Linked DNA regions of Stegostoma tigrinum. The protein of the gene in region 2 interacts with the protein of the main gene of each other region in a pairwise test. Links are inferred from orthologs where the notes say so. Each region holds a gene or a part of one and is shown on either strand. Other genes may lie near its edges.

Region 1 (8,063 bases), on a different chromosome or scaffold from region 2:
GATGGAACAGGTCATAGAGCGCTTACAAATCTGGCACAAGAACTTTGCAGGGTCAAATGGGCAGGGTGTACTTGTGTTCTTACATTGACGAAGCTAACACTAAACAATTCATAATGCTTAGCCACCCAAAAAGTAGTTACGGATAGAGAATCACTTGTAGTCTAAATTAGGTAAGGATTTGCTTCCCAAAAGGACACTGTGAATCAGGTGGGGTTTTTTTGCACTAGATTCATGCTTGCTATTACTGACGTGTTTTTTATTCTAAATTTATTTAACTGAACTTAAATTTCTCAACTGTCACAATGAGAAGTGAACTCCGGTTTTGGGTCATCTTCTGACTTACTGGTCCAGGAACATAATGAAACCCAATGCACACACTGCACACAAGAGAGTACAAGGAAGCAGAGTTGATCAGTACACCAACAAAGGATTTGAAATTTTAACAGGCAGGCATAGAAGTCAACAGGCAGGATGCTTGGGTGCACTTCTGTTAGAAGGTTAGTCTGTGCAGTAGCCTCTCAGCATTACAAACAGTAAATTTTCCAAATAATTGTTTGTATTTTGGCAGCACCTGCAAGCTATTTTGCCTCATTGTGACTTTTCTTATTTCTAACACTTCATTCCTCCAATTCCTAACTCCTAAGTCTGGATTCTAACGCTAAGAAAACTTTTACGTCATTTTAGGAATGAACGCATTGTTGGACAGTCTTCTCAAATAGATGTAGAATAAGTCACAGTATCTTTGAAGAGAAAGTTCTGTGAATATATGCCTAAAAGTTACAATAAATTTTAGGGTTATGAGATAAAGCAGAGGACAGAAACTAATTGGATAGCTGCCTTTAAGAAATGGCACAAGCACAATGAATCAATGGCATCCTTTTGTCCTGCATGTGTAAGCTTTGGAATAACCAGGGCTATCAATTCTATTCTCTCATCTTTCCCTGCCTTAAACTTTCAAGTGGAAACATAGTTAAAACTTAAACATGCCTTTTCAGATGCTGCTTTGCCTGATGTCCAGCATGTACCTCCATTACACATGCCAGGTGATGAGGCAGGACAGGACTGAAAATACTACACCGCACAACGTAGAGCAACTACAAGTTCACCGACAACACCACCATAGTGAGATGAATATCTAACAACGAAGAGTCAAAATACAGAAGGGAGACCGACAGTTTGGTGATATGGTGCAATGAAAACAATCTGTCTCTCAACGGCGGGAAAACTAAAGAACTGATCATCGACTTCGGAAAGAAAAAGGAGAACATGTCCCCATCCACATCAATGGAACTGAGGCTAACAGAGCGAGTAGCATGAAGTTCCTCAGTATGACGATAAACGATGACCTGTCCTGGACTTCCCACATAAATGCAACAGTAAAAAAGGCACAACGCCTCTTCTTCCTCAGGAAATTTGGCACACTCATAAGGCCCCTCGCCAACTTCTACAGATGCACCACTGAAAGCATACTGTCCAGGTGCATAATGGCCCGGTATGGCAATTGCTCTGCCCAGGACCGTAAAAAAACTACAAAAGGTGGTGTGCACAGCCCAGACCATCAGGGAAGCTAATCTTCCAAGCACAGACTCATAGATTTTATTCACAGAATCCATACAGTCTGAAAACAGGCCCCTAAGCCCAACAAGTCCACACTGCCCCTCAAAACATCCCACCTAGACCCATTCCTCAAACCCACCTAATCTACACATCCCTGAATACTACATGCAACCTAGCATGGTTAATCCACCTAGCCCACACATCTTTGGACTGTGGGAGGAAACCAGAGCACCTGGGGAAAACCCAAACAGACATGGGGAGAAGGTGCAAACTCCCTACAGTCTGAGGGGGAAAATCGAACCCAGGCCGCTGGCGCTGTGAGGCAGCAGTGCTAACCACTCAGCCACCGTGCCGACCTTGACTCCATTTATACAGCTTGCTCCCACAGAAAAGCAGCTAACATCATCAAAGAACCATTATACCTGGTAATGACCTCCTAAACCGCTTCCGTCAGGCATAAGATACAGAAGCCTGAACAGAAATACAAGCAGGTTCAGGAATAGCTTCTTTCCCGCCATTATCAAACTGTTCAATGAACTCCAGCCTCAAATAATCTAACACGTAACGTAACCTATATGCTTCTAAGTCTTTTTGATCTGTACATCCTTTGCTTGCTGTGATTTTCCTGTACCGCTCATAAACGAAGCTCTTGATTGCACATGTGGCGATAAAAACTAAATCAAATCAAATCAAATCAAATCAAATCAGAGACTAGACTTTGGCCAGATGAGTGAACTGACAGTACCCTACATAAAGGCTGAAGGGTCTATAGAAGGAGCTCAAGCACAGGGCAAAGGAAGAATACACTCCCTACAGCCATCAGAGGTGTCTCATGGGGCAGCACGGTGGCTCAGCGATCATCACTGCTGCTTCACAGGGCCAGGTTTGATTCTAGCCCCAGGTGACCGTACGGAGTGACCTGCAGAGAAGGGGCGGCAGTGTGTCGTTGCCAAGAGAGGGTGGGAACTGTCTTCAGGGGAGCACGGATCCGTTGCTAAGGCCTGGCCAACATGGCGGCGCCCCGTGTTTCCACCCGTTCGGCCGCCTGAGCCGCTGTCATACTCACTTGGTGTAATCCTCTCTGCGCTGGATGCGGTACCGGCGTAGCACTTTCACTTCGCTCAGGTTATTGTCCACCTCCCAGGAGATAAAATCGACTTTTTTCAGCAGCTTCTGCTCGTGGTACTTCAGCTTGCGCACCATGGTTACCGGGGTCCTCGATGAGAGGTCGTGCTGCCTGCGGAGCTGCCTGTTCTCAGCAAGAATACCACAGAGTTGGCAGAGACTGTGTACAGAGATGGAGAATGAAGGAATTTGTACAGAAGGGGGAGAGACAGAGAATGAAGGAATTTGTACAGAAGGGGGAGAGACAGAGAATGAAGGAATTTGTACAGAAGGGGGAGAGACAGAGAATGAAGGAATTTTTACAGAAGGGGGAGAGACAGAGAGAGAGAGAGAATGAAGGAATTTATACAGAAGGGGAAGAGACAGAGAGAGAATGATGGAATTTATGCAAAAGGGGAAGAGACAGAGAGATAATGAAGGAATTTGTACAGAAGGGGAAGAGAGAGAGAGGGAATGAAGGAACTTATACAGAAGGGAGGGAGAGTGCAGGAGGGAAGGAGAGCAATTAGGTAAGGAGAGAGTGAGTGGAGGAATTTATATCCAGGGGAGAGAGAGTGTGTGTGTGAGGGAACTAATACAGGAGTGAAGGAGTTTCTGCAGGAGGAGGGGAGGGTGTGAGGGAGCTACTACAGGAGGAAAGGAGGAGGAGAGGCAATCGTGCTCTACAAGAGAGTGTGAGAATATACAAAGGGGATGGAGAGAAAACTATAGAGAAGAAGGAATAAATGGGCAGAAACGATATACAGAAGGACGAGAATATACTGGGTGGGTGTGGTGGAGAGGCTGTGTTTCTCTAGGGCAGAGGGAATATAGAGGGACAGCAAGATAAAACCAACAGGGGAGAGAGCAAAAAGTGACAAAAATAGGTGAATGAATATGATATGGGAAAATCAGAAGTCATGAATTTTGGAAGAAATGATGAAGACCGAATATTATTCAAAACGGGGAAAGATTGCAGGGAGCTGCAGCACAGAGGGATTTGGGGAGACCTCATAGAAACAGCTAGCATCCAAGTTTAGGAGTAGGCAATTAGGTTGTTGGAATTAGTTTCAAAGGAAATGGAATACAAAAATAGGGGTCTTGCTAAACTATGGAAAGCATGAGTCAGCCCATAGCTGGAATACTATGAACAATTTTGGTCCACTCATTTAAGGAAAGATGTACTGGCATTGGAGCCCAGAGAGGTTCACGAGGTTGATCTCAGATGTGGAGGAATTCTGTTATGAGGAGAGGGCTTGTACTCATTGGAGTTTAGAAGTGTGAGAGGAGACCTTATTGAAACACAAGTAGTTCTCCTGTAACATGATAGTTGCATTCTTGCATAACCTCATGCAAAAGAAAATCGCATTATAGGGAATTCATGATAAGAAATTGCTGTACCTGTACAGCAGAAAGTTTGTGTTACGCAAACAGCGTCCACTATTCATCAATCTCATTACAGCCAATTCACTTCAACAAAAAAAGTGTTATAGCAGAACTACCTGCGTTAGATTCTTAGGGGACTTGGCTCGGTAATGTGAAGAGGTTGTGGGAGACTCTAGGAGCAAAGGCAACAATGTCAGAGTAAGAAGTAGCCCATTTAAAACAGATTAGGAGGATTATTTCTGTGGAATTCTTTACCATAGAGGGCTGTCAAGGCTGAGCCATTACGTATATTCAAGGCTGAGATAGTTTTCTAATCAGTAACAGAATCGAGTGTTATGGGGAAAAGGCGGGAAACTCGAGTTGAATATTATCAGATCAGATGTGATCTTCTTGAATAGCAGACAGACTTGATGGGCATAATGGCCTGCTGCTATGTCTTACAGTCTCATTTACAGGAAAGAGAGTAGTTGAATCTACAAGAGTGAGGTGAGCATCTATGAGTGAGAAGTGAGGCTTATGTAGGAGTCTTTGTGCTTCAGGGAAAAAAATCTCCATTCATTTAACCCCACCCCCACCCCTTCAGGCTACCTTCCAGCCAATTAAGGGAGTATAGGCACTGTTTTAATGTGGGAAACTCATTTGTGCAGTGCCAGATCCAACAAAAAACAATGTGGTCATGTCAATATATCTTGTGATACTGATACTGTCTGGGAATAGCCTGTGCCTTACCCTCTGACGCTCCAGGGAAATTAGCCCCAGCCTGCTTAGCCTCTCCTTATAGCTCAGTCCTTCAACTCTTTCAAATTTCACAACATCCTTCCTGTAGCAGAGAGACCAGAATTGCACAAGATATTTCGAAAGTGGCCTAACCAATGTCCTCTACAGCCTTCACATGACCAACTCCTATACTCAATTCAATGACCAACAAAAGCACACAGTGCTCCAATAGTGGCCAAACCAATGTCCTGTACAGCGCAACATGACCTTCCAACTATCATTCCCGTAGCATCTATACCCTGGAAAATGAAGCTACCAATCCTGTCCAACCTCAAGCCACATCCCTATAATTACTATGACATCCCAGTCCCATGTTCCCAACTCACCCTAGGTTCATCTTCCTTACTTTTTAGGCTTCTTGCCTTGAAATAAATGCAGTTTAATTTATCAGTCCTGCCTCATTCTCTGCTCTGTCCTGACTGTTTGACTTGATCTTTTTCCAACTGTACTCATGCAAAAGAAAATCGCATTATAGGGAATTCACGATAAGAAATTGCTGTACCTGATTGATCTCTTTCCTCACTATCTCCCTGAGTCCCAGCACCACCACCCGCTTTGTTAGTTAAAATCTTCCCGAGCAGTTCTGTCTCCCAGTCTGTAAATTAGACCCCTTCCAATTCAGGTGCAATCCACCCTACTTATAAGGTCACTTCTACCCAAGAAGACAGTCCAATGATCCAAAAAATGTGAATCCTTCTCCCCTGCACCAGCTCCTCAACCATGCATTCATCTGCTCCACCCTCCAATTCCTATCCTCACTAACTCGTGGCACAGGGGGTGATCCAGATATTACTATCCTCAAGGAACACCTTTTAAAATTCCTGTCTAACTTTCTCTATTCTCTCCTCAGAATCACATTCTTTTCTCTTCCTGTGTTGTTAGTTCCAATGTGTACAAAAACCTCTTGCTGATCCCTCTCCCCTTTGAGAATATTCTGCACCTTCTCTGAGATATCCTTGACCCTGGCACCAGGGAGGCAACACAGCATTCTGATTTCTCACTGTTGGCCGCAGAAACATCTGACTGTGCTTCTGACTAGAGAGTCCCCTATTGCAGTCGATCACTTGAAACCTGACATACCCCTCACTATTAGAGCCAGTCTCAGTACCAGAAACCTGGCTGTTAGTGCTACATTTCCCTGAGAGTCTGTCATCCCCTATATTTTCCAAAACAGCATGCATGTTTCAGATGGGGATAGCCACAGGAGATTCCTGAGTGACTCGCCTCCCTTTCCTGGTGGTAACTCATCTGCCTGACTGTATCTGTGGTTTTCCTCCCTTCCCACAGCAGCCATCTATCCCATCCCCTGTCTTCTGTAGACTCCTCATTGCCTTTAACTGCTGGTCCGTGCAAGCTGATAGAATTCACAGTCAAACACGCTTCATGCAGATGTGATCATCATGAAACATGGAAATTCTCCCTAATCTTCCACATTCAACAGTTAGAGCACATCACTCTACGAAAGGACATCTTTGCATCTTAACTGTCTGCCAGAAAATAGCAGTGGTATTGCTCTTAAAAAAAAAACTCCTGGCTAACTTAGTACCTATATTTTATATGTTTAACATTTAACCAGGAGAGAGATTTCAGTAAAGCATATAATCAAAAAAGAACCCATTCTACTCACTATTGTAGCTTTACAAAACAAACAGGAATGTTACAGTTTAAAAAGCCACTTAGCTGCTCCCCTGCTGGGAGCTCTCCCACACGGGTTTCTAAGACTCAGCCAGCATCCATTAATACCTACCAAATTATTTCAAACATCCCTCCTCAAAAGGATACATGTGGTGAAAACGACAGATGATCCGCATAAACAGACAATAAATTTTCCCTACACTCTCTCAAAATAAATGCACAATTTGAACAGATCTGCTCTCAATTTCCTTAAGTGATTACTGGTCATAAGAAATATCTCATAAAATAGTGAATGATATTCCTGACATAATGGGCCACCTGTGAGAGCTTTGAACATGGTTTACGAGTTGAACAGACACTGGATGCCCATTCTCGCTAAGCCCAGTTCTACAAGTAGAAAGGCTTTGGACTTGCGCAGCATTCTACATAAACATTGGAGATATGTTGAACCAGATGTTAAGGTGCAGCCTCCTCAGATTATGTACAAGAGGCTGGAAACTCTGACACTGGATACCTGTTATTAAGTGGCATCGTTACAATTTTTGAACAGTTCCAAAAATCTCAGAAAAAAAATGCCTGTAAGTACATTACTTTAAGCTGTTTGAATTAGGAACAATGGTACATTTTCTTCGAGTGAAATTTCTCTTTGAACATAAATGCAAAAAAAACTCACCGGGGTAATGAATAAGGAAATCCTGGCACATTGGAATGGAAAACCTCTATGGCATCAATTGAACCACTGAATGCTAATCTCCCAAATATTTGTGGATTCCGCTGTACATGGCAGTGTGACTCAGAAAACTTTTAAGAGAAACAACAGTAACATTGTGCCATGAATTCTGGTGAGAGCGTTAATGGAAAATTATAACAGTAAGACAAAGTCTCAAAATATGCACGTGGCTTTCTCCTGGCATCGTCATCCAGATAATTGAAATATTATTTTACATCTAGAATTAGAATTAGCTTTATTATCATGTGTACTCAAATGAGTACAGTGAAACATTTATAAGAAGGTTACCTCAGAGTACAATGGGACCTTGATCAGGTGAGGCAATGGGCCAAGGAGTGGCAAATGAGGTTTATATAAATGTGATATGTTGCATTTTGGAAATTCAATCAGGGAAGGACCTATACACTTAATGGTAAGGTCCTGTGATTGTTGCTGAACAAAGCGACCTTGGAGTACAGGCTAATAGTTCCTTGAAAGTGGAGTTGCAAGTAGACAGGTAGTGAAGAAGGTGTTTAGTATGTTTGCCTTTATTGGTCAGTGCTTTGTGTGAGAGTTGGAAGGTCATGTTGTGGCTGTACAGGACATTGGTTTGGCCACTTTTGGAGTACTGTGTGCAGTTCTGGTCTCCTTGCTGTAGGAAGGATGTTGTGAAACTTGAAAGGGTTCAGAAAAGATTTACAAGGATGTTGCCCGGGTTAGGAGGTTTGAGCTATAAGGAGATGCTGCATAGGCTGGAGTGTCAGAGGCTGAGGGGTGATGTAATAGAGTTTTATAAAATCATGAGGGGCATATATAAGGGTAAATAGCAAAAGCCTTTTTCCATAGGGTCGGGGAGTCCAACACCAGAGGGCATTGCTTTAAGGTGAGAGGAGAA
Region 2 (7,392 bases):
ATTAAGCAGAGGTTCACCTGCACATCTGCCAATGTGGTATACTGCATCCACTGTACCCGGTGAGGCTTCCTCTACATTGGGGAAACCAAGCGGAGGCTTGGGGACCGCTTTGCAGAACACCTCCGCTCAGTTCGCAACAAACAACTGCACCTCCCAGTCGCAAACCATTTCCACTCCCCCTCCCATTCTCTAGATGACATGTCCATCATGGGCCTCCTGCAGTGCCACAATGATGCCACCCGAAGGTTGCAGGAACAGCAACTCATTCTGCCTGGGAACCCTGCAGCCATATGGTATCAATGTGGACTTCACCAGTTTCAAAATCTCCCCTTCCCCTACTGCATCCCTAAACCAGCCCAGTTCATCCCCTCCCCCCACTGCACCACACAACCAGCCCAGCTCTTCCCCCCACCCACTGCATCCCAAAACCAGTCCAACCTGTCTCTGCCTCCCTAACCGGTTCTTCCTCTCACCCATCCCTTCCTCCCACCCCAAGCCGCACCCCCAGCTACCTACTTACCTCATCCCACCTCCTTGACCTGTCCGTCTTCCCTGGACTGACCTATCCCCTCCCTACCTCCCCACCTATACTCTCTCCACCTATCTTCTTTACTCTCCATCTTCGGTCCACCTCCCCCTCTCTCCCTATTTATTCCAGTTCCCTCTCCCCATCCCCCTCTCTGATGAAGGGTCTAGGCCCGAAACGTCAGCTTTTGTGCTCCTGAGATGCTGCTTGGCCTGCTGTGTTCATCCAGCCTCACATTTTACTATCTTGGAGTTCTCCAGCATCTGCAGTTCCCATTATCTCTGATACCATTAGGTATAACAATCATCTTGCTAGGTCTACCACTGACAAATTTCAGCATTACAAGAGAACCATTCTTCCAAGTGTTACTCCTCAGAAAAATGATTACAATGGTTTGTTAGTGGCTGTGTTGAGTCCACTGATAACCCAAAAATCTTTGAAAAGTCATCAGTTATTGGTGAGTTATTCTTCTTTAGGGTAGAATTGTGATAACTAATGCTTTCAACAAACAGAACTTCAGTCTATCAGTTTTATGACTGTTGATTAGTTATTTCATACATTCATGTCTAATCCACAAGTTTCCTCCCAAGTCACTTATTATTGCCGCTCCTTGAACGTCACTGGATCAAAATCTTAGAAAGCCCTCCTTAATTCCTTTCCACAGAGACCTTGCACATATTCAAGGCCAAGATAGAGAAATTCTTGATCAGTAGACAAATCAAGGGTCAAGGGAAAGGGCAGGAAAGTGAATATGAGGAGTGGCTGAATCTTCTGGATAACAGAACAGGCTTGAGGAACTAAACAGTCCACTCCCATTCCTTTTTCTTATGGTGCAATGGCATTGTGAAGGTACTTACACAAATTTATCACCGCAATTCAAGGTGGCAGAACACCACCATTTTCTCAAGGACAGCTAGATACAGGCAAAAAATGCTGGCCCAGCAAGCAATGACCACATCCTATTCGTGATTTTGCTTTTAAAATAGCACCCTGTAAATTATCAGGCACTTGTAATTTTCTTTCTCCTTCTAAACTGACAGTGAGGCTGACCAAGATGCTAAAGAAGCTTTCTGAGGCAGAGTGGGACATGGCTAGAAGTCTTCAAAGATAAAAACAAAGACTTGAAATTGATACCGAAGGCTGCGACAAGACAGAAAAAAAATTTCAATGATGGGAAAGGGGTTGTGAAACAGAACCAAACAGAATACAAGATTCCAAATTATGAGTTGAGAGCAGAAGGGCATTCAGGAAAGTTGGTCGAGTTAGGAGCAGAGGCATGAAAGACTGAGAAGATGCAAAATAGTGACTTTATTTTTATTTTCACTGACCCACAAGATTTGACTGTGCAAGGTTTAACTACATTCATGGCTGTACACACATTTAAAGGTCCCTTAAACTTCACTATTGGGGGCGGGGAGGAGTGAAGAGAACATCCACAACTACATTAAATTATGCAGTTTGACAGGAGGGACACGCAGGCAAATGGAATTGACTATACAGATCTCTTGGAGGGCTTGTTTGGAAGGTCAAGTAAAATAGTGGGTGTTCAATTTAGTCATACATAACAGAAAAGCAATTCAAACTTGCAAAGCTGTAACATACCAGAGGCCAATGCTAAATGACGAGCACAGGGAGGAAGGCAAGTAAAATTAACAGAAATGCTGAAGAACACAGTGGGTTAGCAACAATGGTGAGTAAAGAAATAGTTAACATTTCAGACTTTTCATCAGGACGGTTCCAGGCTTGAAATATTAATTCCGAATCTCTCGCCACGGCTGATGTCTGACCCATTGAGCATTTTCTGCATTTTTTAAAAAACTTCAGAATTTTTGTTTCTGTATTTGGACTTAAATGAGAATACAGCTAACTGAGTTTTATATTAACTCAAAAGGCGGGGAAGGGGACAGAGAAAGGAGATAGGACGCTAGTCAGAAGTCTGCTGAAACAATATGGAGGAAGTAAATAGATGAACTTGTCCATTTGAGGCTCGATTAGGAATATAAACAACTTAGAGCCCCTCTATTGGATCCCAGCCTGTAAGATTGGATCAGGTAGACTAGGCCCGAAACGTCAGCTTTTGTGCTCCTGAGATGCTGCTTAGTGCCTATTGTGTTCATCCAGCCCCACACTTTGTTATCTCGGATCCTCCAGCATCTGCAGTTCCCATTATCACTAATTACACGCAAACACTAGACTGCTGCCGCTATTTCCACTGGCTCTGAGCTCCTAGGGCCGGCTGTTACCCCATTATCGCTCCTTTCACTGTCACTCGGGTGTTGCGGTAGATGCCAGTACATGTCCGTACACCCACAGACAAAGTGGGGTCCTTCAGGTAGAGGCCCTGTCTGGTGTCAGCAGTCCTCTCCCCCAACCCCGGGATCTCTGCTGTTGGAAGATCCTGAGGCCTGCTCCCTGGAATCAGCCGAACTCACCTCGCAGCTGCGACACCACCTCCCTCAGGCCGTTCGCAAGGTTCCGCAGCGGCAACCGCAGATCATCGTTCGCCTCCGAGTCCATGGTCTCACACGCAGCCGAAAGCAGCTCCTCCATCTTGACGCAAGCTCGGGGGCGGGGCCCGCTGTAGCAGGCAGGACTGGTGGGCGGAGGCTGGGTCGTTACGGATGAATGGGCGGGACCAGAGGTAGGGCGGGGCCTGACTGGATGCACAGGTAATGGGAACTGCAGATGCTGGAGAATCCAAGATAACAAAGTGTGGAGCTGGATGAACACAGCAGGCCAAGCAGCATCTTAGGAGCACAAAAGCGTCTCTGATGAAGGGTCTAGGCCCGAAACGTCAGCTTTTGTGCTCCTGAGATGCTGCTTGGCCTGCTGTGTTCATCCAGCTCCACACTTTGTTATCTCAGATGCATGGAGATTGACGGGGCCAGTAGACGAGGCCGGGTTCACGGTAAATGCGGTGGTGAAGGGAGTAGTCAAGCCCTTCGTTGAAAAGCAGATGGTGAAAATTTGAAATTTTTAATTCAGGCAGCACGTTAGTAAAGAACAGCAACTCATATTCTGCTTGGGAACCCTGCAGCCCAATGGTATCAATGTGGATTTCACAAGCTTCAAAATCTCCCCTCCCCCCACCGCATCCCAAAACCAACCCAGCTCATCCCCTCCCCCCACTGCATCCCATAACCAGCCCAGCTCGTCCCTGCCTCCCTGACCTGTTCTTCCTCTCACCTATCCCCTCCTCCCACCTCAAGCCACTCCTGCATTTCCTACCTACCAACCTCATCCCGCCTCCTTAACCTATCCCTCCTCCCTGGACTGACCTATCCCCTCCCTACCTCCCCACCCATACTCTCCTCTCCACCTATCTTCTCCTCTATCCATCTTCGGTCTGCTTCCCCCTCTCTCCCTATTTATTTCTAGTAGAGCCAACAGTCAATGGGAAACTTCGAACCAGCGTCTACGGGAAAACAACACATACAGACCAAATACTGAACTACAGGAGTAACCATCCCGACACCCACAAACGAAGCTGCATTAGAACATTATTCCAACGAGCCACCACACACTGCAGCACAGAGGAACTACGAAGAGCAGAAGAAAATCACCTATACAGCATATTCAAAAAGAATGGGTACCCAATGAACACAGTCTGCCGATTTCTCAGCAACAAACCCGAACAAACAGACAAAATGGGCCCAGAAACCATAACCGCTCTCCCCTACATCAAAGACATTTCCGAAATGACTGCCAGACTACTCGGACCTCTTGGCATCAGGGTAGCCCACCAACCCACCAACACACTAAAACAGCAGCTAATGAACTTAAAAGACCCTATACAGACAACAAGCAAAACAAACATCATTTACAAAATACTTTTCAAGAACTGTGACAAACACTACATTGTGACAAACAGGCAGAAAGCTAGCCACCAGGATACATGAACATCAGCTAGCCACAAAACGATATGACTCACTATCACTTGTATCCTTACATACAGATGAGGAAGGACACCATTTTGATTGGGACAACACATCCATCCTAGGACAAGCCAAACAGAGACACGCACGAGAATTCCTAGGAGCATGGCATTCCAACCGGAACTCCATCCACAAACACATTGGCTCCAAATCAATCTACCATCCTCTGAGAAAAAGAACAGGAAACGACATCACCAACCCAAGGAAACCTAAACAGATAAATAGAAAGTGGGACATAACACCAGCGCTTTGTCGGAGGCTCACTGATGATGTTACCTAGAATGGTGACGAAACGTCTGAAAACTAACCTTCCAGCTCAGCAAGCAAACTCACATCCAGAATTAAACATAATACTCTAAATGTGGCCGAACTAAATTCTTAATAAGTTGCAGCATGACATCCTGACTCTTGTACTCAGTTCTCCAACCAATAAAGGCAAGCATGCCACACGTGTTCTTTACCCCCTATCTACTTGTATGGCTACTTTCAGGGAGCTATGGATTTGAACCCCAATCTCCTTCTATACATCAATGGCATTCAGAGTTCTGCCATTAATTGTACACGTTTCGTTAACATTTGATCTCCCAAATCATAGCACTTCATATTTACCCAGATTAAACTCCATCTGCCATTTATCTGCCCATGATTGCAATTGAGCGATATCCTGCTATATCCTTTGACAACCTTCTACACTATCCACAACTCCACCAATCTTTGTATCATCTGCAAACATAATAACCCACCCAACTATATTATCATGTAAGTCATTTATATGTATTAAAAAGTGTAGAGTTGCCAACACGGACCCCTGCAAAACACCATTAGTCATGGACCTCCAGACTAGAAACCAGCCTTCCACCACTACCCTCTGTCTTCTATGGCAAGCCAAGCCTGAACCCACATTGTCAAGTCACTGTGGATTCCATGCGTCTTAATCTTCTGGATGTGCCTACTATGAGGGACCTGGTCAAAAGCCTTACTAAAATCCATGTAAACAACATCCACTGCTCTACCCTCACCGATCACCTCCGTCACCTTCTCAAAAAATTCAATCAAGGTAGTAAGAAATGATCTGCCTTGCATAAAGCCATGTTGAACATAGAACGTAGAACAGTACAGGCCCTTCGGACAAAGATGTTGTGCCGAACTTTTACCCTAAGCCTTATGTCTATCTAACCTCCACCCCTACTTTACACTATCATCCAAATGCCACGTAAATGCCCCTAATGAGGCCGACTCCACTACCCTCTCTGGCAATGTATTCCATTCCCCTACCACTGTCTGACTAAAGAACCTACCTCTGACGTCTCCCCTATTTCTACCTCCACTCACTTTAAAATTACGCCCCCTCGTATGAGCTACCTCCCCCCTAGGAAAAAGTCTCTGGCTATCCACTCTCTCAATACCTCTGATCATTTCGTACACCTCTATCAATTCACCTCTCATCCTTCGTCATTATAAAGAGAAAAGTCCTAGGTTTCTCAACTTTTCCTCAAAAGACCCTCCCTCCATTCTCGGCAACACCCTGGTAAATCTCCTCTGCACCTTTTCCAACATTTCTGCATCCTTCCTGTCATGAGACGACCAGAACCGGACACAATACTCCAAATGTGGCCAAACCAGGGTTTTGTATAACTGGAGCATAACTTCAAAGCTCTTGAACCCAAACTCCCTATTAATGAAAGCTAACACACTATACGCTTTGCGAACAACTCTATCCACCTGGGTGGCAGCTTTTAGGGAACTGTGGACATGAACCCCAAGATCCCTCTGCTCCTCCACGCTGCCAAAAATCTTTCCATTAACCCTGTATTCTGCTTTCAAATTTGTCCTTCCAAAATGTATCACCTCACACTTTTCAGGGTTAAACTCCATCTGCCACTTCTTAGCCCACCTCTGCATCCTATCAATGTCCCTTTGTAACCTAGAATAGCCATCCACACTATTGTCAAAGCGACTCACCTTTGTATTGTCTGCGAACTTACTAATCCACTCTTCCACTCCTACATCCAAATCATTTACAAAATTCACAAATAGAAGAGGACCCAGAACAGATCCTTGTGGTACACCACTCTTAACTGAGCACCATGCTGAATATGTTCCATCCACTAACACCCTTTGTATTCTAAGGGTCAGCCAATTCTGAATCCAATCTGCCACACTTTCCCTATCCCATGCCTCCTTACCTTCTGCATGAGCCTACCATGGGGAACCTTATCAAATGCCTTACTTAAATCCATGTATACCACATCCACTGCTCTACCTTCATCCACGTGTTTGGTCACCTCTTCAAAGGATTCAATAAGGTTTGTGAGGCATGATCTACCCCTCACAAATCAATGCTGACTATCACGAATCAAACTATGCCTATCCAAGTGATCATAAATCCTCTCTGTCAGAGCCTTTTCCAATAATTTGCCCACCACTGACATAACACTAACTAGCCTGTAATTTCCAGGGTTATCCCTATTCTGTTTTTTGAACAAGGAAATGACGTTTGCCACTCTCCAATCTTCCGGCACTATACCCGTGGACAGTGAGGATGCAAAGATCATCGCCAAAGGCCCTGTGATCTCTTCCCTCACTTCTCATTGAATCCCATCAGGCCCAGGAACTTATCTATCTTCAATTTCCTCAAAATTCCTTGTGCATCTTCCTTACAAACATGCACCTCCTTTAGCCTTCTAGCCTGAATTGTAATTACCCTTCCCTCAATTATAAACCTTACCCTGCTGTGTGTACCTTCCTTTTCCATGACTGTTGTAAAAGAAACAGAGTGATGATCACTACTGCCAAAATGCCCTCCTAACAACAGGTCTAACACTTGGTCCGGTTCATTGCCAAGCACAAATCCAAAGTGGCCTCTCCTCATGTTGGTCTATCTACATACTGTGTCAGGAATCCTTCTTGAATCCACTGGACCAAATCCAT

What was found. The genes of interacting proteins can lie anywhere in the genome.
Region 1: the proteins of ccndbp1 (region 2) and imp3 interact in binary tests that used the Homo sapiens proteins (3 or more experiments, as listed by UniProt). The two-hybrid records come from large-scale screens. The link is inferred for Stegostoma tigrinum from reciprocal best matches to the Homo sapiens genes CCNDBP1 and IMP3.

The regions. Positions count from the first base shown.
Region 1 is NC_081361.1:10,773,806-10,781,868, forward strand, and holds the start of imp3 (U3 small nucleolar ribonucleoprotein protein IMP3), read right to left. Parts: upstream 3,028-8,063; 5' UTR 2,761-3,027; coding exon 2,624-2,760; intron 1-2,623. UniProt on the Homo sapiens protein: Component of the 60-80S U3 small nucleolar ribonucleoprotein (U3 snoRNP). Required for the early cleavages during pre-18S ribosomal RNA processing. Part of the small subunit (SSU) processome, first precursor of the small eukaryotic ribosomal subunit.
Region 2 is NC_081372.1:47,265,952-47,273,343, reverse strand, and holds the start of ccndbp1 (cyclin-D1-binding protein 1 homolog), read right to left. Parts: upstream 3,103-7,392; 5' UTR 3,077-3,102; coding exon 2,959-3,076; intron 1-2,958. UniProt on the Homo sapiens protein: May negatively regulate cell cycle progression. May act at least in part via inhibition of the cyclin-D1/CDK4 complex, thereby preventing phosphorylation of RB1 and blocking E2F-dependent transcription.